Neodiprion lecontei: one gene and its partners. The protein of the gene in region 1 binds, or shares a complex with, the protein of each later gene. Links are inferred from orthologs where the notes say so. Each region holds a gene or a part of one and is shown in the gene's direction. Other genes may lie near its edges.

Evidence for each region.
Region 2: mediator of RNA polymerase II transcription subunit 18 (region 1) and mediator of RNA polymerase II transcription subunit 24 share a complex: the UniProt entries of both Drosophila melanogaster proteins name them as parts of the mediator complex. The link is inferred for Neodiprion lecontei from reciprocal best matches to the Drosophila melanogaster genes MED18 and MED24.
Region 3: mediator of RNA polymerase II transcription subunit 18 (region 1) and mediator of RNA polymerase II transcription subunit 8 share a complex: the UniProt entries of both Drosophila melanogaster proteins name them as parts of the mediator complex. The link is inferred for Neodiprion lecontei from reciprocal best matches to the Drosophila melanogaster genes MED18 and MED8.
Region 4: mediator of RNA polymerase II transcription subunit 18 (region 1) and mediator of RNA polymerase II transcription subunit 31 share a complex: the UniProt entries of both Drosophila melanogaster proteins name them as parts of the mediator complex. The link is inferred for Neodiprion lecontei from reciprocal best matches to the Drosophila melanogaster genes MED18 and MED31.

The regions. Positions count from the first base shown.
Region 1 is NC_060262.1:34,396,091-34,403,422, forward strand, and holds mediator of RNA polymerase II transcription subunit 18, read left to right. Parts: upstream 1-3,470; 5' UTR 3,471-3,732; coding exon 3,733-3,938; intron 3,939-4,183; coding exon 4,184-4,634; 3' UTR 4,635-6,002; downstream 6,003-7,332. Other genes in the region: AP-3 complex subunit mu-1, read left to right, coding at 9-167, 262-312, 415-549; transcriptional adapter 1, read right to left, coding at 779-910, 1,181-1,343, 1,609-1,757, 1,914-2,117, 2,622-2,855, 2,945-2,981, 3,226-3,296. UniProt on the Drosophila melanogaster protein: Component of the Mediator complex, a coactivator involved in the regulated transcription of nearly all RNA polymerase II-dependent genes.
Region 2 is NC_060263.1:14,885,429-14,895,335, reverse strand, and holds mediator of RNA polymerase II transcription subunit 24, read left to right. Parts: upstream 1-3,318; 5' UTR 3,319-3,436; exon of another isoform or gene 3,437-3,523; 5' UTR 3,524-3,667; coding exon 3,668-3,799; intron 3,800-3,874; coding exon 3,875-4,000; intron 4,001-4,081; coding exon 4,082-4,415; intron 4,416-4,500; coding exon 4,501-4,923; intron 4,924-5,163; coding exon 5,164-5,347; intron 5,348-5,667; coding exon 5,668-6,043; intron 6,044-6,124; coding exon 6,125-6,570; intron 6,571-6,652; coding exon 6,653-6,745; intron 6,746-6,804; coding exon 6,805-7,095; intron 7,096-7,181; coding exon 7,182-7,629; intron 7,630-7,707; coding exon 7,708-7,854; 3' UTR 7,855-8,132; downstream 8,133-9,907. Other genes in the region: vacuolar protein sorting-associated protein 41 homolog, read right to left, coding at 189-387, 490-772, 949-1,086, 1,228-1,248; Parkinson disease protein 7 homolog, read right to left, coding at 8,276-8,623, 8,701-8,879, 8,959-9,160, 9,220-9,381, 9,463-9,657. UniProt on the Drosophila melanogaster protein: Component of the Mediator complex, a coactivator involved in the regulated transcription of nearly all RNA polymerase II-dependent genes.
Region 3 is NC_060264.1:26,414,493-26,422,040, reverse strand, and holds mediator of RNA polymerase II transcription subunit 8, read left to right. Parts: upstream 1-2,925; 5' UTR 2,926-3,263; coding exon 3,264-3,428; intron 3,429-3,521; coding exon 3,522-3,767; intron 3,768-4,061; coding exon 4,062-4,070; intron 4,071-4,291; coding exon 4,292-4,462; intron 4,463-4,579; coding exon 4,580-4,688; intron 4,689-4,869; coding exon 4,870-4,949; 3' UTR 4,950-5,315; downstream 5,316-7,548. Other genes in the region: nuclear pore membrane glycoprotein 210, read right to left, coding at 6,298-6,494, 6,670-6,726, 6,832-6,958. UniProt on the Drosophila melanogaster protein: Component of the Mediator complex, a coactivator involved in the regulated transcription of nearly all RNA polymerase II-dependent genes.
Region 4 is NC_060262.1:33,291,162-33,298,917, reverse strand, and holds mediator of RNA polymerase II transcription subunit 31, read left to right. Parts: upstream 1-1,654; 5' UTR 1,655-1,817; coding exon 1,818-1,884; intron 1,885-2,110; coding exon 2,111-2,200; intron 2,201-3,987; coding exon 3,988-4,301; 3' UTR 4,302-4,461; downstream 4,462-7,756. Other genes in the region: organic cation transporter protein-like, read right to left, coding at 5,171-5,506, 5,590-5,765, 5,872-6,113, 6,316-6,712, 6,793-7,121, 7,375-7,622. UniProt on the Drosophila melanogaster protein: Component of the Mediator complex, a coactivator involved in the regulated transcription of nearly all RNA polymerase II-dependent genes.

The DNA.
Region 1 (7,332 bases):
TTTTTTAGGTAGAAAATGTTAATATCGAAATTCCCATGCCAAAATCAGTATTAAATTGTAGTTTGGTACCCAATCAAGGAAAGTACTCTTTTGATCCAGTCAGTAAAGTACTTGTGTGGGATATTGGAAGAATAGATGTTGCGAAATTGCCCAATCTTCGAGGAAGTGTAAGTTGCAATAGAAAAAATTCAACAATACTAATAATACTACAAAAAACAAAATTTTGACTGACTTCATTGTTGTCATTTCTTAATTTTCAAGATCACTATTCAAAATGGGGCGACCGTCACAGAATCAAATCCTGCTATCAATGTAAGTCTCATTATCATAACAAGTTTATTTTAGCATTGTCTCAACTTCGTATACTCGTAATGACGTCTAATAAGGAATCGTTCTAAACGCTTTTACTTTTAGGTTCATTTCACAATCAACCAGCTTGCTGTGTCTGGCTTGAAAGTAAACAGGCTCGACATGTATGGTGAAAAATATAAGCCGTTCAAAGGTGTAAAATATATTACAAAAGCTGGTAGATTTCAAATCAGAATGTGAATCCCCACCGCTATCAATTTTAATATATCAAAGGTAGAAAATATATTACTTATTACAAATTTTTGTGAGTTAATACAATTCTGGTACCATCAAAACCTCAATATTTTTGCTCCTAGATTTACCAATAATTCTTCCACTATCGAAATCTGCCATTAACTTACAAACGAAAACAACAGAACAACTTACGTTTAACAATTATTTTGCACTACTCTAAATTCTACTTCTTTTGTCACGTTCTTAAATTTTTACACAGTATTTTCCTTGCCTCCAAATCTTCCCAGGTTGGGTGCGTAGCATATGTATGTAGACGTTCCATATTAGTTGCATAAATTGTATGATTGTTGATGAGATTCTTGTGGATCTATGGTCAAATATTGTCAAGTATATGCATAATGCAACAGTGTAGTGATGCAAATATTTGGTGAAAAACATTGGAGAAATGTCCTATATTTTCACTAATTCAACGTATTTACGTAAGATTAATGATCTCATTCAAGACAGTAAACAGTTGTGAGTTTCAAAATTTATATCCTGTTATTTTTTCCAAGAATTGGTTTGTTGTTATACTCATCCGAATATTTAGGCATATTTAATTAACACACCGTAACAAATATATTCATCAAACTCATACCTTCAATGCTTTTTGAAGATTAGCCACATTAACAGGATCGGGAGTCGGTGAGGTAGTTTGTGTTGAACATGCCAATGCAAATGCATTTGCTTGTTCCGCTTCTTCGAGTGTTTGCTTCATTGCAGGTACTTGTCCTTCAGGCTCCACTATATTTGTAGCCATACTGGATAATTCATATATTATTCGTTATAGACGCACACATGAAATTTACGGAAAATCTAGCACTATCCTTTTACATACTCTATCAAATTAGAAAATAAATAGGAGGCTTTAAACTATGATTGAAATTCGAAGAAGTCAAATCGGTACAAAAAAATTTCAGAAATAAGGGAATAAGCACTAAAGTAACGATCTTATGCAAAATGTAACATTAGTCCCTACTTCCAGCCTATTCCGATTTTATTCATAAATATGAATCTATGCTGTACCTAAAATTTGACGTGTTGGTTATGTAGGATGTATTTCTGGTCCATGAACTGGGTACTGGTTCACCTATGTTATGAATAAATGATCCTTCTCGCACCGAGAAACCTTTCCGTCGAGTTATTACGGCTGTGAGTATATTTTTGAGAAATACCTGTAAGTATGAGAATTGGGTTGTTATTTTTCACTCACATCATGGGTAAAACCGACTGAAGAATAGAATAAACAATGTACTTTCCCGAATCCAGAACATTGCACAATCTGATTACTTCAGTATAGCAAAATACTCGTAGCTATAGCATATTCGTACCTGAGTAGCAGCTATAATTATTTGAGCTGTATTTTCTTCAGCTCCATCCATATTATTCTCCCATGCAGCAAGCATTAGTCTAGCTAAAACGAAGGTACGATCTGGCAGCAAAAGCTCTTGCGCGCTGGAATGATTGGCACCTATAGGTTCGTCTCCAACCAGCGACGAACTTTGGCCCAAGACTTCAACGTAGACATCTGCAGGCTGAAATATGCAGCTTTTATATTCTTAACATAAATTTTCTCAGGTTGTATTTGCTTTTTTTTCATACAAAAATATCTGCTTTCAAATATTTGACACAGCCTTATGGCCACTTTATACATATTTCCAGAGACCAATAATGAATGAATACTTCTATATGTTAGCAATAAAATATCAAATTCCTAACAGATACCCATTTAACACTATAGTGCCTGCTATCGCACATTCACTAATTTGGCAAAATGGCAATTTTTATTTATGAGTTCATGAATTTTAATCAAACATTTTGGAAGAGAGTTACAGGCTCTCTGGTATCCTAAGGTCTTGAAATCATAAGTTCATCGACAGGTAATTAATGGCAAAAATGTTTAAAACTAAATTTTTACAAAATTTTAACTGAAATATGTATAGCAGTTTTAAAAAATAATATTCTTCAACTGAATCCGAGTACTGGCACTATATGGTTAATCACGGATTTTTTAATATTATTCCAAAACAGCTTCTTACTTCAAAATTTGATTTGTCTGTTTTATATTTTCGTTTCAATCGCAGCCTTTTCTCTAGCATTTTTTCTTTATCAAGATGAGCATTTGTATGATTGTGTTTGTTAGTTCGGACTGTTGTCACAGACGCTAACCCCTGTACTTTGTTGAACAAGCAGAGTAGAAATTCATTGTGCAAATGGACTTGATCCTCAGTCATAATGTTGCGCGCCTCGCAGTCAAATTCTTCTTTAGTTGTCTGAGAAAATCAAATAAGTGTATGATTAAAAAAAAAAAAGTAGCAAAACGATTCTTGGATATCAAGACTCAGGTAAGATATTGGTGTACCTTCATCTGAAACCACAGCTTCATTTTTTCAAAGTACCTGTAACCACAATATGATAATTAAGTATGTGTACACCCAAAGTCCATTGCGATTCCAAGGAAATCAGTAAAGGGTGAATTCAAAGTGACAGATCAGAAAGGTTTTTAACCGCTGTATTAGTATAATCAGTTATTACAGTATCATACCAAGATCAGGTTGTCGCAATATTTACAAAAGGTAATTGAGCTCAAATTGTATACACACATTGCACACATAATGTTGAGTGACATAAAAACAAACTTACAGTTTTGCGTTATCACCTAGCGATGCGACAAGGCTTTTTCTTGCTACGGTCAACTCTTTCGACGATGTCATACCGCAATCGAACCGTTCGAATTTATTTTGTGACAATAAACAGACATCTATTTGCACGCGACTCTTACATTGACATTTCGACACCTAACAACATAAGCGAACTCACTAACACGATCGTATAAAGTTGTTATATTGTTCCTCTTACATCGTGACATTGTTGCGTGCAAACGAGAAAGCAATTTTGTGCAGATTTGTGAACGTTGAGTGCGTCAGATGCGCGCGCATCAAAGTTTAATAAATTTCAATCACAAGGTTGGCGACAATGATTGTTGACAATTTGTTGGGAACAGGGAAAATTGACTGTATGCAGGCTGCAGTGACTTAACCTCGCAAAGAGACCAAATACGACGATCGGACAATGACAATTTACCCCATTCTGTAGCGACAAATCCATTAACATACCGCAGTAGAAAGTATAATTAAATACTCTGCCAAAATGGCAAGTCAAATAAGTACAGCGATGGACAGCTTAAATGCTGCTGTAAAGTCGAATATAATACCAAACCAAGAATACCTTCTGCAAGGTTCGGTTATGGACAGTGCGGTGGAAGTCTTATTGCAAAGATTGAGAGGATTGTGCGATAACGTTGATAGTAGGCCGGAGACTTTTCGTGATCATGAAATGTGTTTCAGTATCAGGAGGTAAATCTCATTCTCTTTTTGCTGGTATACATTGTCGTTATTCACCCAGAGTGCTTAGTACTTCACATTGTTTGCATATTTTCTAGGTTTCAGATGCGGCTTTAAAATTGTAACTTGCCTATTGTGACAATTTATATTTCACGATAATAATATAATGAGCCATTATTTTCTTCCAGCAAAATTTAAAAATTTACTTTGTGTTTTAAAAAAGAAGAGCATTTCAAATATAAATTTTAACCTTTCAGAGGTCCTCCGCCAGAACAACCATTGTCGCTGAGGGTGAGAAGAGCCTTAGATCATCAGGATATGCCTTGGCAGCTACGTTACATCGGACAACCCGAGCTAGGTGACAAGTCTAGACCGACAATAGTGCGAAGCAGTATAGACATTGCAACAAGCAGTACAGTTGTTGAATTCCTCACAGAATTGGGATGTAGAATAGATTTTGAGTATATTGTACAGGGATACATGTTCCGAAAGGGTAGAATGAAAGTAACTGTAGCAAAAATATTTAAAATGGTTCAAGTGAAAATACCGGATAATGTAGAACCCATATCTCAAAGCTACTTGGTCGAATTGAGCGTGCTTGCTCCACGTGGACAAGATGCAATAGCTGAAGACATGAGAATATTCGCCGAACAGTTAAGACCTTTAGTTCAGCTTGAAAAAATTGATTATAAACGACTGAGTCATTAGGGGGTTTAGAATCAGTGTCCATAAATGAATCACTGATGAATAGTTCCTAATATACAATTGGGTACAATGTTGTCTTTTCAGATTTCAGTGTGCGAGAACTATATAGCAGAAATGATAATACATCGTAGTTCTCTTATTGCGAATTTTCAAGAGGAATCTTTATGCAAGTATTATTTCAATATTTCCTACTGCAATGACCCATAGAGATTTTTTATATTGTACTATTGGATATTTACATTTGAATCAGATCCATAAAATTAGAATGAATTTGTAAAGTATTGAACAAAGTCCAATAAAGATCCGACATCGATGCTACAATTAGTCATGTTATGATACAGAAACTACTAATTTTTAACTCTTCGAATGAAGTAAAGTATTTTAAAATAATGAATAAGTACTCGCAACTGAAATTGAACTCAATCTCATTTTTAAATCTCCAACACCTACCGAACTCAATAAATATGAACTCTTGTGATTATTGCAAAAGTGTGATGAGCATGATAAAAGGGATACTAGAAGATACGTGATTTCCTGATAATCTGTTATGATTGTCAAACACCTGCAGCATGTAATTTGAGGGATGGTTGAAAGTTTGTACTATGTCTATGATAAGGCAGGACTATACCAATCATTTGCTCAGGGATGTAGGACTAATGGATGCAGTATGAGATTGGCTGGGCAGCAAAATAACAATGTGAAGAGAGATAATGAGTGTAAGGGTCACTAATTGTAAGCCACATTGGATCGTACCTTTCAACCGGAATTTTAAGGATTAGGTAATGGTACTTGATATCCTTTTAATATTGACTAACCATTTCCTCCCAGTTAGGAAGGCAGAGTGAAAAAAGTACTATGAGGTAGTCTAGCAATTTGTAAATGCTGGAAGGTAAATAAAAAAATTAGTTAGTATTAAATCGTTTAGTAAATAATCCTTAATGGTTAAAGAAAAGAACCGATGCAAAATTCTCGGGCCATTTTAACTAGATTAACTGGGAATGGAGAGTCGAGAGTTGCGTTATTGAAAATGAATCCGTGGATATTGATAACTCAAATGGCTTCGCGTTGTCGATCAGGTAACGATTATGCACCCACATCAATGTTTCGAGTATCAATGTTTTTGATTGATGGGTTTTAAAGTCGATATATCGATAATCGATGGAAAATATTGGACTATCGACATCATTATGTCAGGAATAAATTGAATTTCTGTGCCAACATCTGTCGGTAACTCATCTATAGAACTTTTCTATTAAATTTCTCACTGTTAATTAGAATGTTTCAATAATTTAATTTTATCCAATGTAATTTATATTTAGTTCTCATATTTTATTTTTATTTTGAATAATAATGATAATTCAAAACTTGAAATTTCTGCGTTCATTATTCTGTCTACAATTGTATCTAAAATTTTTGAATTTTTCGCGCTTTTATTCGTCACCGATGATAACAATCGATGTTCCGATGTTTTTAAAAGAACATCGATAGTAGACTGGTAGTAGAATTAAAACAATCGACAATAGGATGTCGCTATTTTATACTAACATCGCCCATCCCTCTGAACTCGTATCGTGTATACAGCAAACTCGGACGTAAATTGTGGATCGAAAATGCGGATGAATAATGGGACGCGATCCATTTTTTCATCCGCGTTTTCGATCCACGATTTACGTCCAAGTTTGCTGTATACGCGATACGAGTTCTGGTAACTTTTTTTCGGTCCGAGAAATCGGTCCGATTTCTAGCACTGTGTAAACACGTCTTTACTGAACTATAAGGAGACAACTCCACGTAAACAAATTCCTGCCTGAAATAAACTGGCACTGGTGTTCTGTAAACACCGAAGACAGTGAAGGGAGTATAACTTTCTATGAATTACATTTCAAGATCGCCGATCGATTAGTGGATCTTGGGCATCCCTGCAACCAATCACGCATAGGTGTAAAAGGAACACTGACGACGCTTATAGTGAAATTTAGTGGGCAGATTTTGTACCAACAACTATCCAGTACTGATCTTTGAAAAAAATTATTATATATCAATGTGGCTATTACCACCGGTATGTCGCAAATATGTTTCTGCTTGCGGAACTATGCGAAAAATCTGAGAAACATCAGAAACTCGCATCTCGATTCATATTCTATATTACAAGAAGGTTAATATATAAAACTCATTCTTCATAAAGTTCAACCCCGTTTATTTCCTCAGTTACAATTACTCTGGAAGAAACGATTCTACCATTCAGCAGACCTCAGGGTCGACTTTCTAGGAATAACAATTTTACACTCAAAAGTGTTTTCTTGAACGTTAAAAGTAATAACAATTGTTATTAATTTAAACTATTTTTTCCCTTTGATACTCATTCTTCTGACCGTCCATTCTCTGCGTAGGGAATTAGAGTATACAAATTTTTTGCTCAAAAAAGTAAGGCTACTTCCTTTAGGTTTTTTTTATAAAAGTTCGATGATTTCGGATGATGCTAGAATCAATTCTCTGATCTATTATATCAACATAATTTTTCCAGATGATTCGATTACGCTCAGTCTCAACTCGCTGCGAACAACGGATTAGAAGGAATGGTCGAACAACATGAAATTTGCACCAGGTTGTTAACAAAACGGCAAAGGCAAATAACGACTTCATAGCGAGAAAGTTTTGTTTCAGTTTAGTTTCGGTTCATTTATTACGCCTTAATCCTAGT
Region 2 (9,907 bases), on another chromosome or scaffold:
GAGTTGAGGGTCGCTGCAACACTTTTTAAATTTGCGAATAATTTTGAGGGAGCTTCAATGATAGCTAATAGGTGTAAAAGTTCAGATTTGACATAGAGATTTCACAGAAGAATGAAATTCATAAAAACCTAAAGTGGCACAATAAGCAAACGCAAGTGAACAAAAAAATTGAAAATAAAAATACTCACTCTATGGATCGAGTCCACTGTATTACTCCTAAGGAACATTTAGCATATAAATCATATATTCTAACCCCAGTATCTGAAGCCCAAGCTACAAATTGACCAGCCCAGGATATGGATCGTACACCACCTTCAGCTTCACATAAAACTGTAGGTTTGATCCGCGATAAAAATGTCTTTTCATATAAAATTAGTTTACTGTCACCTGAAATTTTGCAATGTAGGAACTATCAGCATCAGATATGTTGTCAAACGATTGAGTTGAAAGAAGTTGAAAAACTCAGATAAAAATGAAATGCTGCATTACCCGTTAGGAATCTTCTACCGCTTCCATTTTTGTAGTAATAAGGGTCAAGCGCAATACTTTTGACCAATCTTTCCATGCTCATGTTGTGGTTATTCTCCTTGCTATATAGACCATATATAACAACCTTTCCATCGTCGCTGCAGGATCCAATGAAATCTCCATTCTGATCTATGGATATTTGATTGACGGCAACGGTATGGGCTTGAAGAGTTTTGGATCGTATTCTGTTTCCTTGGTGATCCAATATATGGATCATTCCCCAATGCGAGCCCAGGCAGAGAAACTGAAAGTAGCGGTACGTTAGGACTCTCTGTACCCTAACCTGACCTCGATGCGTACTCGCACATTCTACTGCTTCGTGCGAAACAAAGCGAATGCGAGGAAGATAAATGAGAAGGAATCATCGCTGAGCGGACATGTGAGGAATATGAGGTATGACAGAAGAGGCGTTAATGGCACCTTTGGGTGAACAGCGATGCAGCTCGCGGCATCATTTTGGAGGATACTATCAAGATCATTTCTCATTCGGACGTATTTCAATCGTGGTTCAACCTCTTCCACATCAGAATCTGAATCATCTTGATTATGTTCTTGATCCTGAAAATAGAGGAAAGTAGTTTCAGCTTTAACTTTCAACTCACCACCCTCGATTTCGATACAGTTAATTGGGATTTTGTTTGTCCATAGAATAATAGGAGAAGATCGATTACGTCTACGTAAATCGGGAACGATAATTACATTATTTACACTATTATTCATCTGTGGTTAAAATTTTCAAATAATTTTTTTACGCAGTCACGTAGCAGCAGCAACACGCCAGAGAATCAAAATATTGGTCTTCGCATACATGGATGTGACACATACGAGTTTCGTGTGTACAGCACGCGAAGATGTGTCATTTGAAAAAAAAAAGGCACAGCAGGGATGGAAGGGGGATGACCGCTGATGACAGATCTATGATTACGTGATCCGACAGACGGTAAAAGCTGTTCCAAAATTGTCCCAGGCGATTTAACGTTCTCGACTATGGGTGCGTTTCGAAATTAACTGGCAGCGCTGAAATCTCGCTAGAATAGAGGCAGAGCCATCCACAGACTCGGCAGCAGAAGAGAGATAAAAAATTGTTAACAGCACTGAGAGCTAATATTTGAACGCACCCTATGACGTAGAAGATAAGGGTGTTTCTGCGCAACACTCTCCAAGAACCAATCGTGTGCCTGGACCATATAAAGGCCATCTTGCAGTTCAACCAGTGGCTTCAACCTTAGAGCATGTCACGGATTTAATTAAGCACCTCTTGTGATGTAAGCCCGTATAGCGCACTCACCCCCAACCCCATATGATCTTACGATTCACCGTTTGCAAACCTTTTCCTTGGATTTAATGTCGGTTGAGATTAGAAAAGCAATCACTCGGTTTTTACTGATTTTTAGTCACTTTAGATGCATATTTTACGAATTTACGGAGTATGTTTATAAAACGAAGGCTTATAGGTTTCGCTTGCCGCCCTTTTTTCTACATTTTATAGCGAAAATTTCACTTTTTTCCGTAAGAGGCGCTCAAATCGCATTTAGACAATTCCTCTTACGTTACCTTAAAACTGGGGACAAGTTTTATTGCAGAGTGTTGTCTCCTTCCTACTACTCAGTGGTAAGAATGAAATCGAAAATAAATGGAAGGATGGAAATTTTATTACCTATATTGTACATAAAACATAAATTAGAAGTTATAATTTAAAAATAGGAATAATACTAATAAAAACATTAAAATTAAGTGATTGAATATGAAATGCTGTTCATAATTTTTATTAGGTGACAAACATGAATAATGCACGCAAGTATATGCTGTATGATAATATACTGTTATATGGCTCACGGTCTTACCATAGATTTATAAAGATAGACTGAGCGCTCTTATGAGCCGCTTGAAGCAAACATTTAAAGGACAGAAATATGCCGGGAGTACTCCTTTCCCTCTCTAACGATATTTGTGGCGGGAATCGAGGCGGTAGAGGAGAATGAGGCGAAATTATGCACCTATATCTATAGCTGTTCCACTTCCACTGCTCCGTTGTCTCCCGCCATGACGCCGATTGAAAAGAGAGAGCAGTACTCCCAGTATATCTCTGTCCTTTATGTGTAATTGTCAGTGCCTCTTACAGGAGCGCTTAGTCTATCTTTTTAAGTCTATGAATCTTAGGAGTGGTCGATTCTAGCGGCACAACCAGTTGTCGCTGCGGTCTAGTTACTAGCAACAATAACGTGATAAAAACGCGTGAGTGAGCGAATGCCCATATACATATATGCGAAACCACGGTCAGCCCCCTGACAGACGCTCACGGTCTTACATACAGGCAACGAAGGTAATGGGGGTGGTTCATTTCACGGCCGGTTATGTATCTCACTTTGTGGCCGCCAGGCCAGCGTTGTGATCGAGAGATAGATAATCAACGCGTGCGCAATGCAGCGCCAACGTAATAATAATATTGTTATTGGCACATTTTTATCCCTACCATCCCTACCCCACGTACATCCCTAGATAGCAGCGCTGCGACATGGCTATTTCAAACACTAAAAACCACGGACAGCAAGAGAACCACGCCGCTCTGTAGAAAATTGGCTTCGTTGCCAGACCTGTATGTAAGACCGTGCACACGCTGCTAAAAGTGGTTCGCAAAATGTCCCTCGATTCTGCCGCCAATCTCCACCACTGGTGGCGCTAGTAGTTGTCTAAAAAGCTTGCGTGCGATCAGCGAGCGAGCGAGCGTGTCAAAGGTCTACTAGCGCCACGTAGAGGAACTAAAAAAAGGGGACAAAACGCGTACAATTTTTTAGTATACGAGCAGTGGTGAGTGTCAGGGGCTGTCTGAGACTGTTATTAACAGAAGATGTCAAGATGGCGATGACGTCTCGCAGTTTTCGGTTAACCTAATCACGACAACAAATACGTAATTTTATTATTCAAGAATTGTACATACGGTTTATTCGCGTTAAATGTTGTTAAAATGAATCAATGCATGGCGTCGATTTTTCAGCAATTTTCGAAACGTCGTGTTGACCCGCCTAAGGTACTGTGAAATAGTCTCAACCGATGTATTGATCCTGTCTCAATACGTATGACAGGCTAAAAGTATCACTAATTCGAAACTCGACAGGCTGTATTTACCTTTTGATTAATTATGCGCAATCCTCTATCGACGAGAACAATGGAGACTAAGGTTACAAGCAAGACTAGCAGCCTCAAGGCTCTGCTATTAAGGGCTTGGCGTGAACGTTGGAACGACTTACAATGGGGAATCAATATAAAAACTGTACGTACCGCTGAATTCTGGTAATCAAACGGCTGTGAAAATTTCACATTTGACTTAAATTTCACTTGTTATCAGATTTTACCAAGAGGTGTAAGCGGAGATGTCTACAATTTGGCAGATTGCATTCTGCAGCAGGCTTTAGTGGGCCCCGGACCAAATCAACTGGTGTTATCGTACTTAAAACATTCGCTGAGCTCGCAGGTTTGCCCGTTTCTTTTTCTCCTCAAATTCGAAAGGTGATATTCCAAAAATCTGCTGACAATAATACATCACATTTTTCAGTTAGTGTCTTACGCAGCTGTTCTACAAAGGATAAGCAAATACGGTGCATTTCACAAGCCGCACTGTATCATAAGCCTGTTAGAATTTCTTGAAACAATTCAAGTCGGTATAACCTGTCGAGGAAAGCCGGAGGAAGATTTATTAGCTGCCTCTGTACTTTCAATAGTGCATTGGTTGCTGCTGTGTTATCTCCACGTGCTCAAAATACCCCAAAATAATCCATCACTCACCTATCCCACGGATTTGATCGATAAACCGGCGAGCATTCTGAAACAGATGATTAACTCCGACTTCCTCTGTGCCATGATGTGCCTAGCTAAGCATGATGATAAAGGTAGAACAGATTGAGATTTGATTTTGGGTGTAGAAATATCTGGTACCCTGTAGAAATTAAAACTTTCATTATTGTCTTTTTTCAGAACTTTATATCGAGGTGGTGAAAAAGTGCCAGGACATAGAATCTCTTCAGAAGAATAGTACAGTAAAGTCTGCAGTACCAATTGAGAGCTCGTTGAAACAGCTTTGCAACCTTGATATAGAAACATTGGCTTCGCATTCCAAGAACAACAAAAAGGAGCCGATCACTTATTGCTTGCAACCATTATTCGCTGTTCAAGTCTTGCTTAATCCAAGCACCGAAACCGCAGTTCTGGTCAATCAGCTCCTGATGATACAGAGAATCAAGGGATACTCCAACGCCAAGTTGTATTCGGAAATTATTCGCGCCTGCTTCATGTGTCTGCACGACGTAACCGGAACTTCCAAAGAGTCGCTATGGGGTGCTTTTACGTTTTTGAAAGTACCACACATTTTGAAAGAATTAAACGTAACGACTTTCAGCGGTGAGAGAGCATTTTCTGTATACCGTATTGTTCCGAGTATAAGCTGACCCCAATTCCGAGACAGTATTTCAGGGTGTTTTTCTTAGTTACCCACACATAAAATGGGTCTATGTATAAGACGAGGAGGATGTTGCCAGGTGCTATCAACGACAAAATTCCTTGGCTTATATTCAGAACAATACCGTATAATAATACAGGATTGCATTTTGATGGTAATAATACTCGCATTTCTCTCGATAGGTGAAGAGAAGTTGGAGTACTCCCAAGACATCTTGGACGCCTTTGAATTGCTGCTCCAATTTACTCCTCTGCTTGATATCATGGACACGGCTTGTTCCTGTAATTGCATCGAGTGCCTGCTAAACGAATTACAAAAAGTCAATTTGGTTACTGAGAAACAGGCGAAGCAGCTTAGCAGCCAACGGTAATAATTTTTATAACAGGTTCAAAATGCTCTGCAGGGACAGGGTGCTGTCTTTCGAATAGAGCTTTGGCTTAATATTATGCTGTTATCGTACTTTTCTGCATACTGGTGTTTCTATTACTCTTATTTTCTTTTTTTCTATTCTATGTACTTGCGCTTGTCGGCGTCACCTATTTCTCTACTGCTAAAATTTTATAAGTGGGCCAAAATCCCGTATAATATGAATAAATAAATAAATAAATAAATAAATATACAAATATGTAAATATAAACAACATTCCATGGTTGACGGAATTTTCACTTTATTGTTCTGTATTACAGAGAAGGTGTAACTGCAGCATTACAGAAATTAGAACCATCAGAAACTCCCAAGCCATCAATTCCAAAAGTAATAATTCGCGCGGAACCAACTCTGGCTGGAATTCTGAAGACTCTCAATACAGATTATACGAAAATTCAGGAAGCACTGCTGAGCATGCTGTGCCAGGTACTGACTGGAAAGAGTTTCGAATTAATCTTGGCCGTTGCAACTGTCGAGGGAAAACTGAAAACCTTCGTCTCTAAACTGATAAAGTTCAACGAATGTAGTAAACAAATAAACGATGCTGTGACAGGGAAAATGGCTGCGACAAGAGCAATGCTTTTTGATGTTTCGTTTCTAATGCTCTGCTCTATCGTTCAAACATACGGATCTGAAGTGAGCTTGCTGATACTAAAACATTGAAATCCAAATCCTCTTGATTTTGTCTCAAATTTCTCTCTCCTGTTGGCTATTCAGGTGGTTCTTGAAGAAGACGGTGATTCGTTCTTTGAACAATGGGTCCGAGAGTGTATGGCAGAACGAAACAAGCCCAAATGCCCGCGTCGGATGCTCCAAAACGTTGACGCAGCTCGAGTGGACACGTTACTTGCCCAAATCAATTCCCCGGATCCAGACTTTAAGTCTAGTAACATGAAATGGCACATCGCTTGTCGCTCGGCCATGGGCGCTGTCAAAGAGCTTCTCTGCGCCTGGGAAAGTGGAGCACTCGGAGCTGGCGATGTGAAACGCGCCTTGGACGGCCTGAGAGCAGCGGCCTGCTGCTTGCCGGTATGTGCAGCAGCCTGGCTCTGCGCTCACGTCAGCATAACGCATCAAGATGCGCTCTTGAAGCCCATGAATATGGTTCAACAATTCCTGACTCCTATTTCCAGTGACGAGATGCAGGATAATTTCAAAGAAAGGTAAAATTGCGTCGATTATTCACGTCGACTCAAGGTGATTCGAAATTAAATTATCGCTTCCTAATTGATCAAACTCTTTCAGATCAAGCCTAATGTGCCAAATAATACGTAAAATGCAGTACGACGTTCATCCTCCGACGCAATCCAAGACAAAGGTGCTTTCAATGTCGCACAGGTAATTATGAAAATTTTTTTAGTTATTAACCTAGGTCTTGTTAAATCATTTCATTTTAGTATAATATCGCGGCAGCCGATATCTGAGCAGTTGGAAACTGTGTGGCATGGAATACAGCAAAGGGGTTGGATCAACATCGAAGCTACTCAATCGCTAGAATCTTTGTTGAACACCGGCGGTTCGCTGTGGTTCGTTTCGAATTTGGTCAAAGAAGTAATGAAGTACAGATACCAAGAGGAACTGGATCAGGCAGTGGATTTGACGTTTGCAGTATTTCACTTGGACATTGAAAACTGCACCTTGGACCTGCTGCATCACGTCATACCTCAGTACCTCTACAATAGATCGCAGTGAGAATTTTGTGCCAAATATTTTGCGGCTTTCGATTGCTCAACTACTCCAACAAAAGCGGGAGTAAAATAATTCCAAATTTCAGGAGAGAGGAGCTAGTCGAACCTCAGTCTTCTGTACTGGCGAAGCTGTGCGTTTCGTGTATCTATTCAACCTTGGAGTACAACAACTCGAACCCACCCAGAGGAAACAGTCGTAAGCGTGCAAGGTGCGAATTAGACAGCGAAGAATTAGATGCGATCGGTGTGCCGGCCAACAAAATATTGAGACTGAACGAAACGGGGGACTCGAGTTCGATATTTGACACGAGCTCTCCTCAGGCTCAGGGACAACCTAACGGGCAGAAGTCTATTCGCTTAAGAGAGCCATTGCTTACTGCGCTGAATATGTTGTTCAAAACTTTTACACTACTCGCTGGGAAGGATGGCGAAGTATCACAGCAGACGCATTTCATCCTACAATTTCTACGGTTCATCGTTCAGTGCGGCAAGGACAGGACAAAAATCGTTCTACAAGGAATGCCGCAAACTTTGGTAAGAATAGGTCATACGAAGTGAACCAAGTTTAATTTCCAGAGTTATTTCGTAAACCGAACGATATTCTTCTTTTAGGTTCCATGTTTGCTCAAAGCGCTGCCCGAGTTATTTACGACTGATTTATTACTCAAGTTGTACGATATTCAAACAACAGCAGGACGAAAAGCCACTGCGAGAGATTTATGCATGCTGCGGAACATAAATCTGAAGCCTGTAAAGTAGAATATAAGCACAAAAATGACCTGTACATCCTGTTACGTTTGTAATTATTATTTTTTTTTTTTTTTTAAATTAAGTTTAGTCTCTATCGATCGAAAATAATTACTTTCCTAGTAATTCGATTACAAAGAAATTGATGCCAAAAAAAAATCAATTTTTTTAAAACTTACTTAAAGTACCTATAAAATTCTTTGTTTTCTGTTCCTCCTACAAATTGCTAACTCTACTAAGTTATCTGAGCGAGTGCAGCATCCATTTCGTTCGGTTCCATGTTCCTCATAGAATCAATCATGTCCTGGTGCCTTCTCGATTTCTTAAGTCTCATATGTAGTCTATCGTATATTTTCTGCATTCTGTCATTGTAGCGCGATTCTTCTCTCTCCGCATACTCTCGCATGTACCTGTCATATTCTGCCTGCGATATTTACAAGTGAGAAAAAAAAGTAAGCACCAGCATTTTAGCTTGAACCATAGACTGATGTGAAAAATCAAAGACCTGAGTCATGCACGGCATATTCGTCCACTTTTCTCTACGTTTTTTTAATTCTTCTTCATCTTCTTTGATTTGTTGTTGTAATTCTTTCTCCTCTATGCTCCTGTCTTCTTCCCTATCCTTAAGTTCTTGTCGTTGAATTTTATATTTTATCATGTATTCTTTTTCCAACATACTGGACAGAACTCTGCATTCCTCCCATTCGACAATTTCTGAATAACTCACCCCGCAGCAAGTCGAGCACGAAAATCGTTCCGCAATATTGGGATCAATTTCCTTCTAAATCATGTTACGTATTAAATGAGTTAAAAATTATTCTGAAATAGCAATTCTATAATTTCTCATTAGTTGGCTACCTTGTCTTCACGACAGCAGTATTTACAATTTCCACAACACTCTCTGCAGTATCCGTTGTCATATTTGATAGACAATTTTTCCGCAATATTTTCAGCAATGTAACGACCGCAGACTAAATGAACGAGATTCAGAGCGCACTGAATCGTGTTCGGACCACCTCTGCAGGTAATTATCTTACCTGAAAATTCATAATCCAATTTTAATCAATTTGTTTCCCCTTTTGCTGATACAATTCGTGGATGACAATTTATTATTACCATCCACGTGTACGTCATCGTCGATATATTTGTACTTCATGTATTCGGATCCTTCAATTTTGTATTTTATCAGCGGATGACACGTAAAAGTTCTTCCAGCACCTATATAATGCTTACGCAGCACCGGCACAGCATCTCCTATTGCGACTATCCACTTGTGGCTGTCCTCGAATTCTTTCAGCAGTTTACCAACCAATTCCGACTGCAGCAATTTATTATCTAGTTTACATCATTCAAATCTTACAAAATTTTATGTCTTACCTCTCCAAGCGATTTAGCTCCTAACAAACCGCCAGGTAGAACAACCACGTCGAACGATGGTTCTCTCAAGGCATCAGAAAGCGCTGCGTCTGCATAACAGAATATGTTACTGTTACCCCGTATGCAGTCTGAATCATCCAGACTTGCGATTACAACACTGATCTGGAATCAATAGCCAATTGAAGGTCTGCTATATTTTTAAAGTAAAGAAGTACGACACTTAATTCAGAGTTAGTCTCTCACCCCAGCCCTTCGCATTATATCGGCCATTTGAACTATTTCAGAAATCTGTGCATCTTCAGGCATAATGATCAACGCACGCTTTCCATTATCATTGAAATTGTCCAATTCAAGCTTCTTGTTGTCCGTCGACTCAATCACCTCTACTTCTTCGTCACTTATCATATTGTCGATTTTCAGTTCTTTCAGTTCATTCATTTAAATTATGTGACTGCTCGCTTCTCTGTATTTTTTTTTTTTGACACAGTATTTTTTTCTTTGCAATAATTCTCAGTCCCGGTTATTTTTTCCATTGACATAATTTTTGGGTAAATGCGAAATACGAATATAACATCGTTTATATAAATTTTCACAATAATCTGTCTATACCAAAATTTTGACTGTGTGTTTAAAGCGAAGACTGCCGAGATATGAATAGCTTTCCTTTATTTATTGATTCATTCATATT
Region 3 (7,548 bases), on another chromosome or scaffold:
AGTGTGATTTTGAGAAAATGATAAGCTATGGATAATATCAAAGAAAATATTATTACATAACACTTAGCATATGGTACAAAATTCTAATATATGACAAACACGGTTGCTCTGATTCATACATATATTGGATGTGTGTACACATATTTATATACTAAGGTGTTTTAAGCAAACACAAAAAATTGATGATCCACCTTCTACCTGTCAACTATGCTGTTTACAGTGTACAATTAAACTTTTCATACTGTAAGGCGCAGTCGAAATTTCAATTGACTGTAACTTTGTTGTTGTAGTTTTTTTTCCCAATCTAATACCATATATAATACACATTACTGTAAAGGAAATTTTTTTAAACATCGCTACACTTTCTATAAAAACCGAACAAAATCATTTGTTGACGAGAAATTGTTCAGATTTTCGATACATCGTGAGTAGTTGAAGGGGAAAAAAAAATATATAGTACGGATTATTTTCTTATAAACCCTATTATATTCGTATTTAGATACCTACCTGTACATGTATACATCTGTATAGAAAGGAATCTGATTCTTCGAGTGTTGAATATTTGTTGAGCAAAGTGCTTTTTGATTATAAGCAGAAACGTGTGGAAATAACAATTATAAATTTTAATGCTGAGAATACATAGCGTGAAGTTTGTTTTTATTACAGCACCCGTATGTGTAGTAATAGTAATAATAGTGCATTATTGTAATGCATATAGTATGTATACCTATATGTATGTACATACCTATGTATACGCGTGTATAACTGGCGAGTGTGTTGTACGTTTGGATTTCTGCAAATTGATCATTCGTAATATACATAACTAAACTGCTGTGAAGTAATTACTAATTAACAAACCACATAGATTTATTATATACGTATAATAAGCCATCTCACAATATTAGATAGATGATAAAGTAAACAATGTATGTGTTGATATGTATCGCGAATATTTGCATGACCCATCGCGCGTCATGTAAATATTGTGCGTATTTAAACGACACGTGTGCAGCGTGGTGGGTGCGTGGCTGAACAGAAGTAATAAATTATATGAAAGTGAAAAACTATGGCCGTGCTCTTCGTATTGCGATGTATATTTACGTTATACTCGAATCAGATACACGTGTACGAAGGAAACCCAAGAGCACATGAACCAAAAAGTGTGCAGATCTTCATTGATCATTAAAGAGACGGTCTATTGTTGTCCAACAACCGTTATACATTTCTAATCATGAATTCGAATCCCATTGTTGATTTTTTATTTCTGTTACGCAGTTTAAACAATGCATGTGTAAGTTTCTCTGAATTTCCTCACAAAGATAATAGAATTTCGAAATTGTAATCCCCCAAGTTACTCGATGGTACGCTGCAATCGCCATGTGTCCTTACCTGGTATACCATTGATCAATATTGCCAATTTGAATGCTTCAGAAATTCAAATTTTACTAATTATTCTATACAAATCTTATTTAGTGTTGAATTGCTTGATGTATACTCCTGCTAAAGACACCATTTAGATTTGTTTTTAAATCGAAGCATACACATTTGTAATAAAACGACATACCCCTATGACTAGTACTTTGTGCCTCGTTGCGCTTATTTATCGTAGTCATGATTATGGTTGATATTTTTACCATTATTAATATTATTCAAGCTGTCCATGAGGAAAACGTAATAACTACGTCGTTTCAATTATAATTATAATATGAGCGTATGTTATGTTATGATATCTAATGTATGTAGCGACGGACGAGGTAACAGGATGTGCTATATAAATATTATTATGTGAGGGTGAAAAAATGACAATTGGGTGCAAAAGATTATTAAATCTCAAAGAGTGTATTTGTTATAACAATGATTTCAATGTGGGTTGTCTGGTTATATCAGAGAGTATAATTAATATTTATGCGCCTATATTATGTAAAGTTTTGTACGATTTGGTGAATATAATAATAATAGATAATGGTTTACTTGTGTACGCCGTAAAAACGGGTTTGATGATAAAATGATAATTGTTTCGTTACAGGTGCAGGGGTGTGGTAAAATTTGGTATAGTCAACGTCTGGGTGAAAGTATAATATTGTGTGGTTAAATTATTCGTTCAAGTACACAAAGAAATCAATGATACGTATAACCATGGTTATACTAATTGGCAGAAAGATATTCGTAACAGTCTCATTTGACTATCATCGTAACATAGTTATTCATTTCTGGATGGCATTTCAAAATTCACCCTGTGAAAAAAAGCAGCCATTTACGTTACACCTGTAACTATTTAATATCAATTCGAGTCTGTCGCAAGGGAGGATGCGACGATATTGACATAAGATATAACGATTTAAAACGAAATTCATGCATATAAACGCGTAAGTAGATACACACAATATATGTAGCCAAAGTTGACCAACAGTGTAAACAATTGTTATGTATATTTTATCACTTGTGTAATTACAAAGCGTATCAACATATATTTAATCTGAAAAACTCTACGGGGAGAACCACTCTATATACGCGTATACAAACGAAGAGAAAGATTAATTGAAATAGTTCTACATAATATAATAATGATAACAAGAACACAAGTAATTTACCATTATTCTAATCAAATTTGCATCAATTGTAATTGGAAACAATTATTATCCCATGATTATATATGATTTAAAAAATAAAAACAAAGTAAATATTGTATTTGAGATTAAATGAACCCTTATGTTTTAGTTTCATCTACATTACTGTGAACTATAACAGCATAATACGGATTTGTAAGATTTTTATATTCTTCCGTATTATTGTCAATGCTCTCTAAAAGTAAAAAAAAAAAAACGATTTATTGTGATATACAAGAGTAAACAGATTTTACATTTTTTGTAATGAATGGTCGCAAAATTAACTTGAAATAAGTGATACCTTCGGGAAAAACTGAGTCCCGGTTTAAAAAACTTTGGATAAGTAAGAGAATTGAAAATTCTACTTTTATGATAGATTATCATGTTGTTTGCACTCAAGAAGAAAATACAAATCAGGAGCTAATAGATACTAACTTTAAATTTGACGCATGAGCGACATCTAGTTCCACGCTGCGACTACTTGAGCATAGATGTCGACACTATCTCGAAAGCACGATCAGCTGTTCTATCCGGAAATTCTAGTGTACAGGTCAGTGATTCGAATGATTCTGACCAAGGTACGTACGTCTAAACGCTGACAGCGGCGGTAAATTGTAATAATTAATCCGATCATCGAAGTTCAAGTCCTCTGTAGAAATGCAAAGAGAAGAAAAACAGTTGGACTCTGCTCTGGAGGCGATCATTCTGCGAGTAAGTGATCTAAAATCTGCAATCGCCGGAATGCTTTACAAACTGGAGCACGAATATGAGACGCTGAACTGGCCAAATTTTCTCGATAACTTCGCTATTATTTCGGGTCATGTAAGTAGTTGGTTGAATTTCAATGATCACTTTCAGCCGAGATAACGAATAACTAATAAATAATAAACAATCGTAAACGTTGTTAATCCGCAGCTGACGAGTCTTTCGAAAATTCTTGGCCACGATAAGGCACCAAATATGAGAAATTTCACGATATTGCCACTGCTCTTGAGTCCGGAAAAGGATGAGGATCTGCTCCGAATGACAGAAGGTAGAATATCAACATTCGCCCACGATTTGGTACCAGACTATTTGAGAACAAAACCGGAGCCGATGGCTGAGCAGAAGATGAATCACCTAGAGCTCAAGGCTTCCAATCTCACTTTCGAAGCATCACAGGTAAATTTATTCATTCTGAGTACAGATGTATGCAAATTCTTTGCTGTTTCGACTTCCTTTGCGCTTTTGTCGATCACTCTGCTCCCCTTGCTCACAGTTCTATTTCACATGAAAAAATATTTGCTGATATTCGTGTAATTAATGAAAACAATTGTGTAATCTGAGAATCTTTCGGAAGCTGCTAGTTCGTAAAATTATCTTGACGAGTTTGTATCGAGAATATAATACATTGACCACAAAAACTACAGAGGTTATTCTATTTCTCTGTTGATATGCAAACTAAACAACAAGTAGGATTCCAATGTAAGCCACTAACCATAGTTGGTCAGAGATTTCATTTTTGTTCCATTCGCTCTAGACCGATGTCACCGATAAAGCAGATTATCAAATCGGTAACGCAAGCTGTGATTGGCAACCTTTTATCAGCTCGATGTCCTCCAAGTAATCGGTCTATCTGGCGATTGGAACTCACCACCAGCAGACGCTAAATCGTCGGTACTAACAGTAACATAATTGACTTTCAGAAACAAGTAGCACAGTACAACAAGGTGGTTAGTCATGTATGGGACATCGCATACAAGGCCCGAGAAGAATGGGAGGGCGAAGCTGGTGCCAGAGCTGCCCAGGTACAAACTAGCAGTTCCGCAGATACTCACACCTTAGTTGCTGCAATTGGCATGGGTAAAGGCCTTAAGGTAATTACTGATCACTCATCACAAACCTATTTCATCCATAGTGGGCACTTATTTATTATCATGTTAGCGATGCCATAGTCACTGATATTTCGCCCTAATAACAATTGTTTTCTTTAGTCTGATTCTGGACCGATGGCTCAGTCCAGAGTGAGTCCAGGACCACCGGGTATAATGGCTGGGAGATCTGGTGGCCAGGCACAAGCTGCTGGGCAAGGACAAATAGGAGGTGCACAGTATAAACATTACTTCTATTGCACGCTTCAAATTACTCTTGGAATTGTTGAATGTAGTTCAAATCCTGATAAAGAAACAGTATTTTGGATAAATAAATTTACCTTGTTTGCTATTGTTTTAAGGATAAATTCCACACTGATTAACAAGAACTGTGTACATTTAATGTTTTGCAGTGGGCCAAATGGGAAAAGCTCCAAGCGCAATCAAGACCAACATTAAAGCAGCTTCACAGATTCATCCATATGGACGCTAGAGGTTTAGTCGGGAGATTTTTGTACGCTTTTCTCAATTGAATGTCATATATATGAGGAAGACTATGAAATCCAGTATTGCATAGTGTTTTTGGTGAAAATATCCTTGTTTCCTATTATAAAAGTTTTATCAATTGACTCAAAGATTGAGGATAGAGTGAAGATGTGAATTGTCTTGAAGCTGATATTTCGTTTACATGGAAAGTTTCAGCCTTCTAGTTCAACAGAATTCAAATATTACAAAATGTATCGTTTCAGTGAGCATCTTTACTTTAATTATTCACGCTGTAGACTGCAGACGATGTACACTGACTCACATGTTACCTAATTAAAAATATAGGTGTACACACAAGTGCGCCAAAAACGTTCAATTTCATCATTTTTAAATATCACCTGCATTTCGCGAAAGTGAAAAAAGATAATACATTAATATTTTACACCGAACTTGTTATTGATGAATAAACTGCTCCATTCAAGGCAAATGAAGTATAATTTTCACGGATACCCGTCTTGTGCGTACAATCAGTTCATTCTAAAATCAACTTTACACTGGGAATTTTAGGAACGATGATAAAAATAAAGATTTTTCAATGACAAAGTGATTGACCAGAATATTATATCTATCTTTATTGACTTGTCAGATGGAAGGAGAATCTAACAGGCTTTATAGTACGATCTTTTATTCAACGCCTTAAGAATAATATATATCCTTTAACCTGAGTTATATCTTAAAATACGATACAAAAACATTTCAAAAAGTATTTACACTTCGATTACTTTTCACCATACGTACATCTACATACGTAACGTACTTGAAAACGACCTTAGTATAGTTCAACAACCATTTTGAATGTGACGCTCAAAATGTCATTCATTATATTCTAGCGTATTGTCGTATGAAAATATAGTCTATTATAAATAAAATTAAGTCACATATTCGTCACCTTTTGATCAACAATTGTCACTAGTTGAAACCCAGACCCATAAGTTGCGTCAATGTTAATTAAATAATTACATCAATGAAAATTTTCGATATAGACAAAATCTTTTAGAAACGTTCCAGGTGAGAAAATTAGAATAGCTTGATATCACTAATAGACAAGATCAGGAAAGCGAAAAAACAAAATTGAGAATAGTGTCAGATCAAATTGTTTCACTTTTTAACATGTGTGATCAATTACCGGAAAATTTCACTGCATAACACATGAAGTCTGAGTTTCATTGTTCGTCAGTCTTGTCGAACTATCATTTGATAAATTGACCACTCAACAACCAGTAAACTATAAAATTATTGAAGAATGTCCTTACCAGTTTTCTTTTTTTTTTATTTATTTTTTTTTTTCTTTAGAACTAAGGACTAAGTAGGGATCGATTTCGCCTAGCGTTAGGCGTGTAAAATCCCCGAGGATCTCCATATACAGGTTCAAACGCTGAGAAAGGTCTTAGCGATGTGTTTGCACTCCCCGGACTTGGAGTGCTAGTAACTTTGTTTCCACTTGGTGAAGTTGGCGTATACGTTTTCTTTATGGGCGGTGGACACTTTTCGGCTATTGAAAAAAAAGAAAAAATTAATTTTTCCATGCAGCACAAGGGTCGCAAAACAAGTATTGTGAACAACTGTAAGTTTAAGTAAATTAAGGCAGAAAAACTAAAACTTTATTGACGTATAAGACTGCCTTACAATACTTAAATCGATTTACAAGCAGCGGTTGAGGTAGTTACCGAAAATGGATTTATTTTTCACTGAGATGTTGATGCTCATCATTTTACTTCCATAGACTGAAAACATAAATGCATTTGAAAAGATGTAGATTAACAAAATAATACATTCGCATGAACTGGCTTGAAAAGTTACTACTTGAAATAAGAATAAAATAGACTCACTGTAGAAAAAGGTTATTACAAGAGCAGTGAAGGTCCCAAATGTATATCTATGATAGTAAGCATAATCCAACCAATGTATGCCACTGACTGGGGCAGCTTGATCATACTGTGACACTCGAACAAGTATCTGAAATTGTTTAGGAACACAGTAGTGATAATATGTTGAAAAAAATGATGATCGAAAAAATAAATGACTAAATAAGCTCATTGAAAAAATGGAAAAAATGAGGTCACAATAAGCTTCACTGATGTAATTTAATAAAACGTCCATGACAAAAGTAACTAGTATCATTATTAAAAATAAGAAGAAAATGAATGAAAATGATACTTATAAAACAGATGTATCAATACTAAAGGACATACAATATCCAATAGCAAAAACTATGGATTTGAAAAATAGAAAAATGATTATCACATGCAAAAACAATACAGATGTTGATGCAACTCCTAAAGTTTTATATGAACAAAATTGTCGAAATTTTGATGTGGAACCAGAAAAATTGAAAAATCCATGAATCAAAGTTGTCAATATCAAGAACGATTTGAATGAAGAACAATTAACGATTGATATAAATAGAAGAAATTCCGATGCAAGTGAAGCAGGTTGTACCATTGTTTGGACATATGCACCTGCAGATAACAAACGAATTGTAACCCTCAATTTCACTACACAGTATGGACAAGATTATAAATATTGTAATATTATCCAAACTTTCC
Region 4 (7,756 bases), about 1.1 Mb from region 1:
AATTGCGTAACAAATGACAGCTACATTTAATGTTCAACCAACTATGTAGCATAAATGGGTGAATACTCTTTGTTATTTGTTGTGAAAAAATGATACGTACATGACTACGGACATTGAAATTGTCAGACCAAAAGAGTGTAGTGTGAAAAAGTGCAAAGCTCATGATTAGCTGTTGACTAGAGCCTGATTCGGCGGTGACTCCAGTGCAGCGAGGATCAGCTGATAGGTAAGCTGCACGTGCAGTTTTTGACTCAATGCCATGCTCGTTACCGAAGTGGTTTAACGCTGGCACAGTAATGGTCCATTTCTTTTTTCTCTACTGAATGACATGATGGCATTAAAGAAACGATAATGTCATTTGCCAGAATTTTACCATTTCTATTGAAACATAGATGAAATGATAGACTTATGTAACCGTCAACACTTTTCATTCGATTATGCTGTCTATTGAAAATACTGGGGATGTTAAATGTTCTGGCAATTTACTCGTTAACTTCAATTTGTGAATTAGAACAGGTCTGGTACTTGTTGCAATGTAGGATTGCCCCGACCTTTCCCCGCGCCAATACCAACAATAAGTTGGGGCTAAAGCCCTCAAATCAGTGATTAAGGAGAAATAATTATATTGGCAATGGTAATGACTAAAGCAATTGAATGACGGGAAACAGTTTGAAACCCCTAAGTTTCACGTTTCTGTAAAATAGCTGCCATTACACGAATGAGGACCATATACTGTTGACTCTGCAATTTCATGAAGTATTGAGACACTCTGCAGTGTTCTGGAAGATATTGCTCTCAAGAGAACTCAGAAAAGAATACATAAAGTGCATGATACTTACCTATCTTTCTTTCTCACGTAGACTAGAGGCATGTAAGGACCGCTAACCTTTATAGGATCAGGGTATGGCAGCGTTGTACAAAAATTTGACTTAACTTACGTTCCTGAGCTGTCTGTCGATATTTTATACACATTTGGATAGCAAAAATAGAAAACCATACTTGAACGTACAAGATCATATAAATTTTCAGTAAAATGCTGACGCTTAAATAGCGTCTCCTATATATCTTATCGAAGTCTATATGAAATTTTCAGCACTGTTATAATTCCATCGAAATGATTCTGTAAGCGGAGAAATTGTGCATTATGTGTGAACTTTTTGGGTGTTCATAGCTGAATACATTATACAAATTTTTTTTACTGTTGTGGCTATATCATAATTTATGTTGATATAGTTATAAATTCATCAATCGATGGTCATATAGTGTACATACATTTACTCCAAGATATATACAGCTCTCAGATAACTAGCCAGTTAATTACTTGGCAATCCAACATACCGTTTGTGTATTTCATTTTTCGTTTATGGATTGGTTTTTTTATTAGCAATTGTCGTGAATTTTTAAATGATCGAAGACCTTTTTATTTTGAATTTAATAAACATTTAACATGTATTACCAAAATTTTATCGCACTTTTTGCGCGTGGACTTGATGCTTGATTGTTCTTAGTTGAAGACGAGCGTTACAGTTTTGCGCCTCGTATACGTTCTCAAACCCACGCACTCCGCGACCAATTGTCCCGATTTGCGTTCCGAAATCTGCGGTATGCGTGCGCAACTTTCCCGCCAACTTAACGCGTGCGCGTGGCTCTCGAAGCATCAGACCTTGCATCAGACTTCGCATGGCGTCATGAAACCGCTGCGAGTTTGTTGATCTTCGGAGTTACTTTGAGGATCGTATTGTTTATCAAAGTTGGAATAAGTGAGTGCCTAGTCATCAAGAGACGAAAAATATTCGAACATCAAGAATTCGTGTAATATGAATCGCTTGGACGATCTCCCAGGCCTAACTAAGGGAAGGAAAACATCTTACATCGGGATGAACGGTAGGTAGATTGAAAAATATGTAAATAAAAATGACAGACGATACGATTTTGACGTTTATTGAAGATAAAAATATCCCGCGACAAGTGATCGTATTAGCAAGGTATTCATCGGTTCGTGATTAAGCGTAAATTCTCACATAGCTATAGATCAAAAAAATTATTACGAATAACATAAACATAGTACCTTTATCGTCTAACCTCATTCGAGTGTTTTTATTTATCTCAGGTGGGCCAGAAACCGATGACCAACAGCGACTTCGCTTTCAGGTTGAGTTGGAATTTGTCCAATGTCTCGCTAATCCAAACTATCTAAATTGTAAGTTTTTAACTTCGTATCTCCATTGTACTTTTCAGCTGTTGACCTTAGGTCATTGACATTACTCCCCAGTTGTAAATATGTATGTTGATGATGGAAAAATTAATGATATACTAAGAATGTGTTAGAAGGAGTTATCGTTAGGTAAATATTTTATTTTAGATCCTCGTTTTATGTTAAACTTGAAGTCATCGTCGATTCAACGGAACTCCTAGTTACATAAATTCAATCGATACTGACGTCATTCTGGAAATACTTTGAATTATTAAATCAATATTCGTTTCATGTTCTTCAACTATTTGCATCAATACGCACCACATATTTCCAAAATTCAAAGTTCATCTTCCTCGTAACTCAAATTGATCCAAGTCGCAAAAGATTCACAATTTAGAACACAGCCAGATCCTTTAGTAAAGGAAAGTTGCCTAACGTGGGCAGGGTTCTTTATTTAGAATGACTTGTTACCTGGGCAATTAAGTAGGTCATGCTATTGTTGATTAGTGCAACTACGCGACACTCAGTGCTGAATATCAGTGCTATGTCAATGATTGTTAGTAAGCAGAACTTCAATGATAATTTAACGTTTTGTCCTGAAATATCTGTCCCACTTTTGATTAGTGTATACCTGTAATTCATATAATGGGCGGGGTTTGTTTTTCATCATCAAAAGTCCGCACTTAAACACCATCGTTCGTTTTGAAAATCATTTATTAATTTTGACAGAAGATACAAATTGTACTGGTAAAATAGAAATCGCCTAGATATTACCAGTCAGATGTTAATTTCGAAAATAAAATGGTTGGGTAGTGGAAAAGTCTCGTTACACCGAAATGTAAGCGAATTTTTTGATCTGAGGAAACGTGTATCGCAAGTGTAGGATATAATAACTACGTAAAACATTCTATGGCAATTTGACGATTTAATTTAAAATTTATCAATTCTTTTTATAAGCGCATTATACAGAAGAAGAGAGTTGTTTGTGAATTTTCCCAGAAGTTTTAGCAAGTTGAAGAGGTGAAATCGATCTGTAATTTCTTGTGATAGAGAAATGAGAACAAGACTATCTACTGAAGTTCTGCCTAGTACTGGCCGACTCTTCAATGGAACTGCTATACCAGTGCCGAAGTTCTCACCTTTCTTCAGGATCCCATATTCAATTGGGCAACTTCCTACACATCATAAAATTGCTATAGAACGTTTTATTTATTTGTAGTAGTTATTTATCACAGGTCTGCTCCTATCATTCCATCTTCAAAAATGGGTAGCGTAGCTTTTCACTGGATTCTGTCTGTCAGCGCTGTATCATAATTCACGTTATGAATTATTTAGTTCTGAAATTCAATCTCTCTGCAAGATTCAATTAATCTGGCACAAAGATTCCAAGTGATTGAGGAGGAAAATCATCTGATAAACTGAAACAATCAAATTATTTTATTCATATCCGTCGGTTGTATAGTTTTCTGAAATTGATGTGGTGTTTTTTTGTAACACCAAAATTTCTACTCCTATTAGAATACTCTTCTCTAGTATTTAAGAAACTAGATTCAAAACGAACAATTCGTGAAAGATGCAGTTTTTGAGAAATTAGCCTTATCACAGAAAATATCTGGAAACTAGAGACTGAGTAGCTGTTGGAATGTGTTGGATGCGAAATTGGACAGTAACGGAACACTGAAAAATATTCATAAAGGATTAGCGGAGACAACAGACTTGAAGACATCTACTTTCAAGATGTATAAACCCTTCGCTGTATACTTTGATTATAATTCATTACTGTTTTGGCACAGTTCTGGGCCAGCGAGGATATTTCAAAGATTCCACCTTCATCAATTACCTGAAGTATCTACTTTACTGGAAGGAGCCAGAATATGCTAAATACTTGAAGTACCCGATGTGCCTCTATTTTCTGGACTTACTGCAGTATGAGCATTTCCGACGTGAAGTCGTAAACGCTCAGTGCACAAAATTCATCGATGATCAGCAAATATTGCTATGGCAGCATTACACCAGACGCAGAACAAGGTTACTGCAAACAGCAGCAGAGCAAACACAGCCCAATAATGCGCAAAACAACGGTATGGTGCAGCCAAAAGTACCGTAGAGACTGTAAAAAAACTTGTTAATAATCTTAGGTGTTAAAACACATTGTTAATAATATTTAACAACTTCAACTGTACATTTTGTTCCTTTCTTTTCATCCGTATTATTCGTAATGTAATGAATACTTGTTTAAATTTAAATAAAGACTTCTTTTATACTTGTCTCGAGGATTATATCTTCATTCATAATCAGAATTCTACCAATGAACTAGCTAATCAGGCTAGCTTTTGATCAACAGAGAATTTAAGTACTTCCATTGCTCAAGGCTTACATTAAAGAATGCTTAGAAAAAAAAGGTTGCCACACAAATATCAAATTTTATGAGGCTCTTTAGTTCGTCATTTCATAAAACCTTGAATGATTGGCGGTAGCTGAATAGTTTTCCTATGCATTTGTTAAAAAGTGTAATTTCACAAATTTTTCACATCCTTCTAGCTTGACACACGTCCGCTTTATTTCGAACAGTTTTTCAGATGTATATATACACAACAACGTTTTTTCAAAACATGAAACCCTGCTGAATTGTGGAACAGAGTAATAAATTTTGCAAAGTACTTTTGGATTATAAAAAGTACATTTACGCTGAAAATTGTCCACACAAATACTCCACTTCTGCATTAATCTTACACGGTGTAAATATGATGCACTTCGAAAAAAGATACCTATACTACTCGATTACGTGACGATAATTTACCTACAATTATTAAATAGCGCTAAATACTTTGGTATATCTTAGCCTCTATAATTTATTTATCATACGCATATACTGTTGGTATTATTATTATTATTAATATTATTATATTTACAAAACTTATCGTCAACTCAAAATTTATTCCCGCGATCAAAAGTGCGCTTCGTCATTCCGGATTTTCACTCTGTATTCTTTCCGTCAGAAAAATTGACAATAATTCCATTTCCGGCTTCTACCCATGTTTTTCCATCGTTATCGTCGTTAAATAATTTCTCCCGCAGTATGTCACGTTCGTTTTGTTCGTCGAGTACCGTGCGCCGTTTGTTGTTCGTTTTTTTCACCGATCCCTCTTCGGTGCTTCGGACGCGATTTCTCTTAAATAAATCTTCCGATTGCTCAATAGTGTCGGGCAGGCGATTGTTGAGCGTTTCCGGAAGAGCCAGACTCAAGATTCCCGACACAACGCACAGCGTTCCCATTATCGATATCGGTACTGCGGCCCATGTTTTTGTACCCTAAAATAACACGAACCGTACCGTCAACAATTTTCCATTTACTCATCACTATCGATGCAGCGAGACAATTAGCAAAGACTTACCAGTACTGTGAAGTGCGGTGCTATCAAAGTGCCAATCTTGCCAAAAATTTCGCAGTATCCTAAACACGTACCTCGCAAAACTGTCGGAAATAATTCAACCGTGTACAAGTATGTAACTGCAAAGGAACTCACGATTGCTCCTTTTCCTATCAGAATCAGCGTTAATTTTGTCGGTCCTGAAACAGTTTGAACAATTGACTAAATCCCCAGTGAAGTGCAATTTTTTTTGTTCTATCTCTATTTTTCGGTAAAATTTCCGGTTTACAGAACTGATTGATTTACCCGTCCAGGTCGAATTTTCATGCATTGGCATGCTGATAGCAGCGATAACGATGCAAGTAGCTCCGCTCAGTATCAGATAAATACCGAGAGGTATACGCCGTCCACATTTTATCAGCACGAAGTGGGTGAGCGAGTATGCGATCAGGTCCAGACAACCGCCGATTGCAAAGTTTACGTGTCGATCGCCGCTTATGTCTGGCAATTGAAACACGAAACCGCAATGGGACAGAGAAACGCTGAACCTGTAAAATAAGGCACTTCAATTTCTGATTCGTGAAAAAAAAGAAAGTTGTTCTTAGTAAAATGGATGAGAGGGTGATTTATAAGAGAGCAGATATTTTGGCTAACGATTTATTCGGCGTTACGCGTGTAAATTCCGCCAAGTAATCGATCCCTTCTTCTAAACTCAGCTAAACGCAATTCATTCGATGTTGTCACACTCACCATACGAATATCAGAATCATGCAATTCCTCCGAAGCCCTGGCCGTCTTAGTAGTTGTAGGAAGGTCTGGTTATTTGCTACTTCACTTTTGTTTTCAACGTCTTCTTTATTTTTTTCTAACGACTCGTTCGTGTCCTCTTCTTCCTTCTGCGGCACCGCTTCCGCTGTTCTAAGCTCCACTATTTCCTCCGGTATTATTGTCGAGACTTCTTGGTTATCGTCGGAACCATTACTGGATTGAGAGTCCTTGCCATTTGGAGTTAGAGGAGCGGGTGGCGGTGGCGTGGGGTCTCTTTCCTCCATTCCTTCATCCCCAACAGTCATCTCAAACTTCATCTGCATCTCTAAATTTGATGCCCTTCGCTCCAGGCTTTCCGACGGTGTAAGCACATTATTCTCTGTTGAATGAAACAAAGGATTAAAAAATTGTCATTGGTTACCAATACTGATGCGAATGGAAGGGTTTTGTGATTCGAACCTTCTTTGACGTTGACGAATTTACGGCCCACTATTATTCTGCCATCGGAAAGCTCCGGAGTTGTTAAAAGATCTGATGACTCCTCGGTGAGAGAATCGTTCGTTTTAGTTTCGTTCGGGTCAACGTTAGACACCCGAGACTTTCGCTTTGGTTTCACTGGCGTTACGGTCTCGGTGATAGTTGTGGTATTTCCTTCCTCCATTTCGGCCTCCACCTTGACCTCGCGCTTCCTGCAGCAGGTGTTGTATTTTGCGATTTTTTCCAACGCCATGTGAGCCTCCGTCAGGTTTCCTTTGGCCAGCAACCATCGTGGTGACTCTGGTATGATCCTTGAACATATTTTTGAAAAAATTTCCTAATGTAGAACATTTGCTAAAACAACGCACTTAGGGATTTTCTCGATCCTGAATTTGGATCCGAACGTAAGGTCAGAAATAGACGTGTGAATATTCAAGTGACATCACGTCACTTGCAAATTGGGGCTCACAAGTAGGCAAGTAAAAAAAGCAAACCGAGTAACAAAATGAAGACAGCAATAGCACAAGCTGAGACGTATGCACGGCGTTATGGCGATTATCCTACCAGATGTAGAGGACGGTGACCGCCGTGGGAACCGATGTGGCTAACTGAAGGACCCTCCAGTCTGCAACAGCGTAACTGAGCCCTGCCAGAAGCAGGAGCCCTATGGCCCAACCAAATTGCAAGGTCATGCTCACCAAAGTTCTTGATCTGACTGGAAATAGCTCCAAGAGTAATGTGTATGTAGAGATTTGTAGCCCTTGCACAAATACCCCTTGCAGTGCTCGAACAACCAAAAAGGCGCGGTAGTCCTGAAGACAATATAACATTCGAAATTTATTTCGCTATTACTCACTACCATCACTTCCTGTTGCGTACTAAATCATTCAATAGTTACAAAGTGGAAACCTACTATAACAAACGGTTTTATTATAAATGAGTGAAT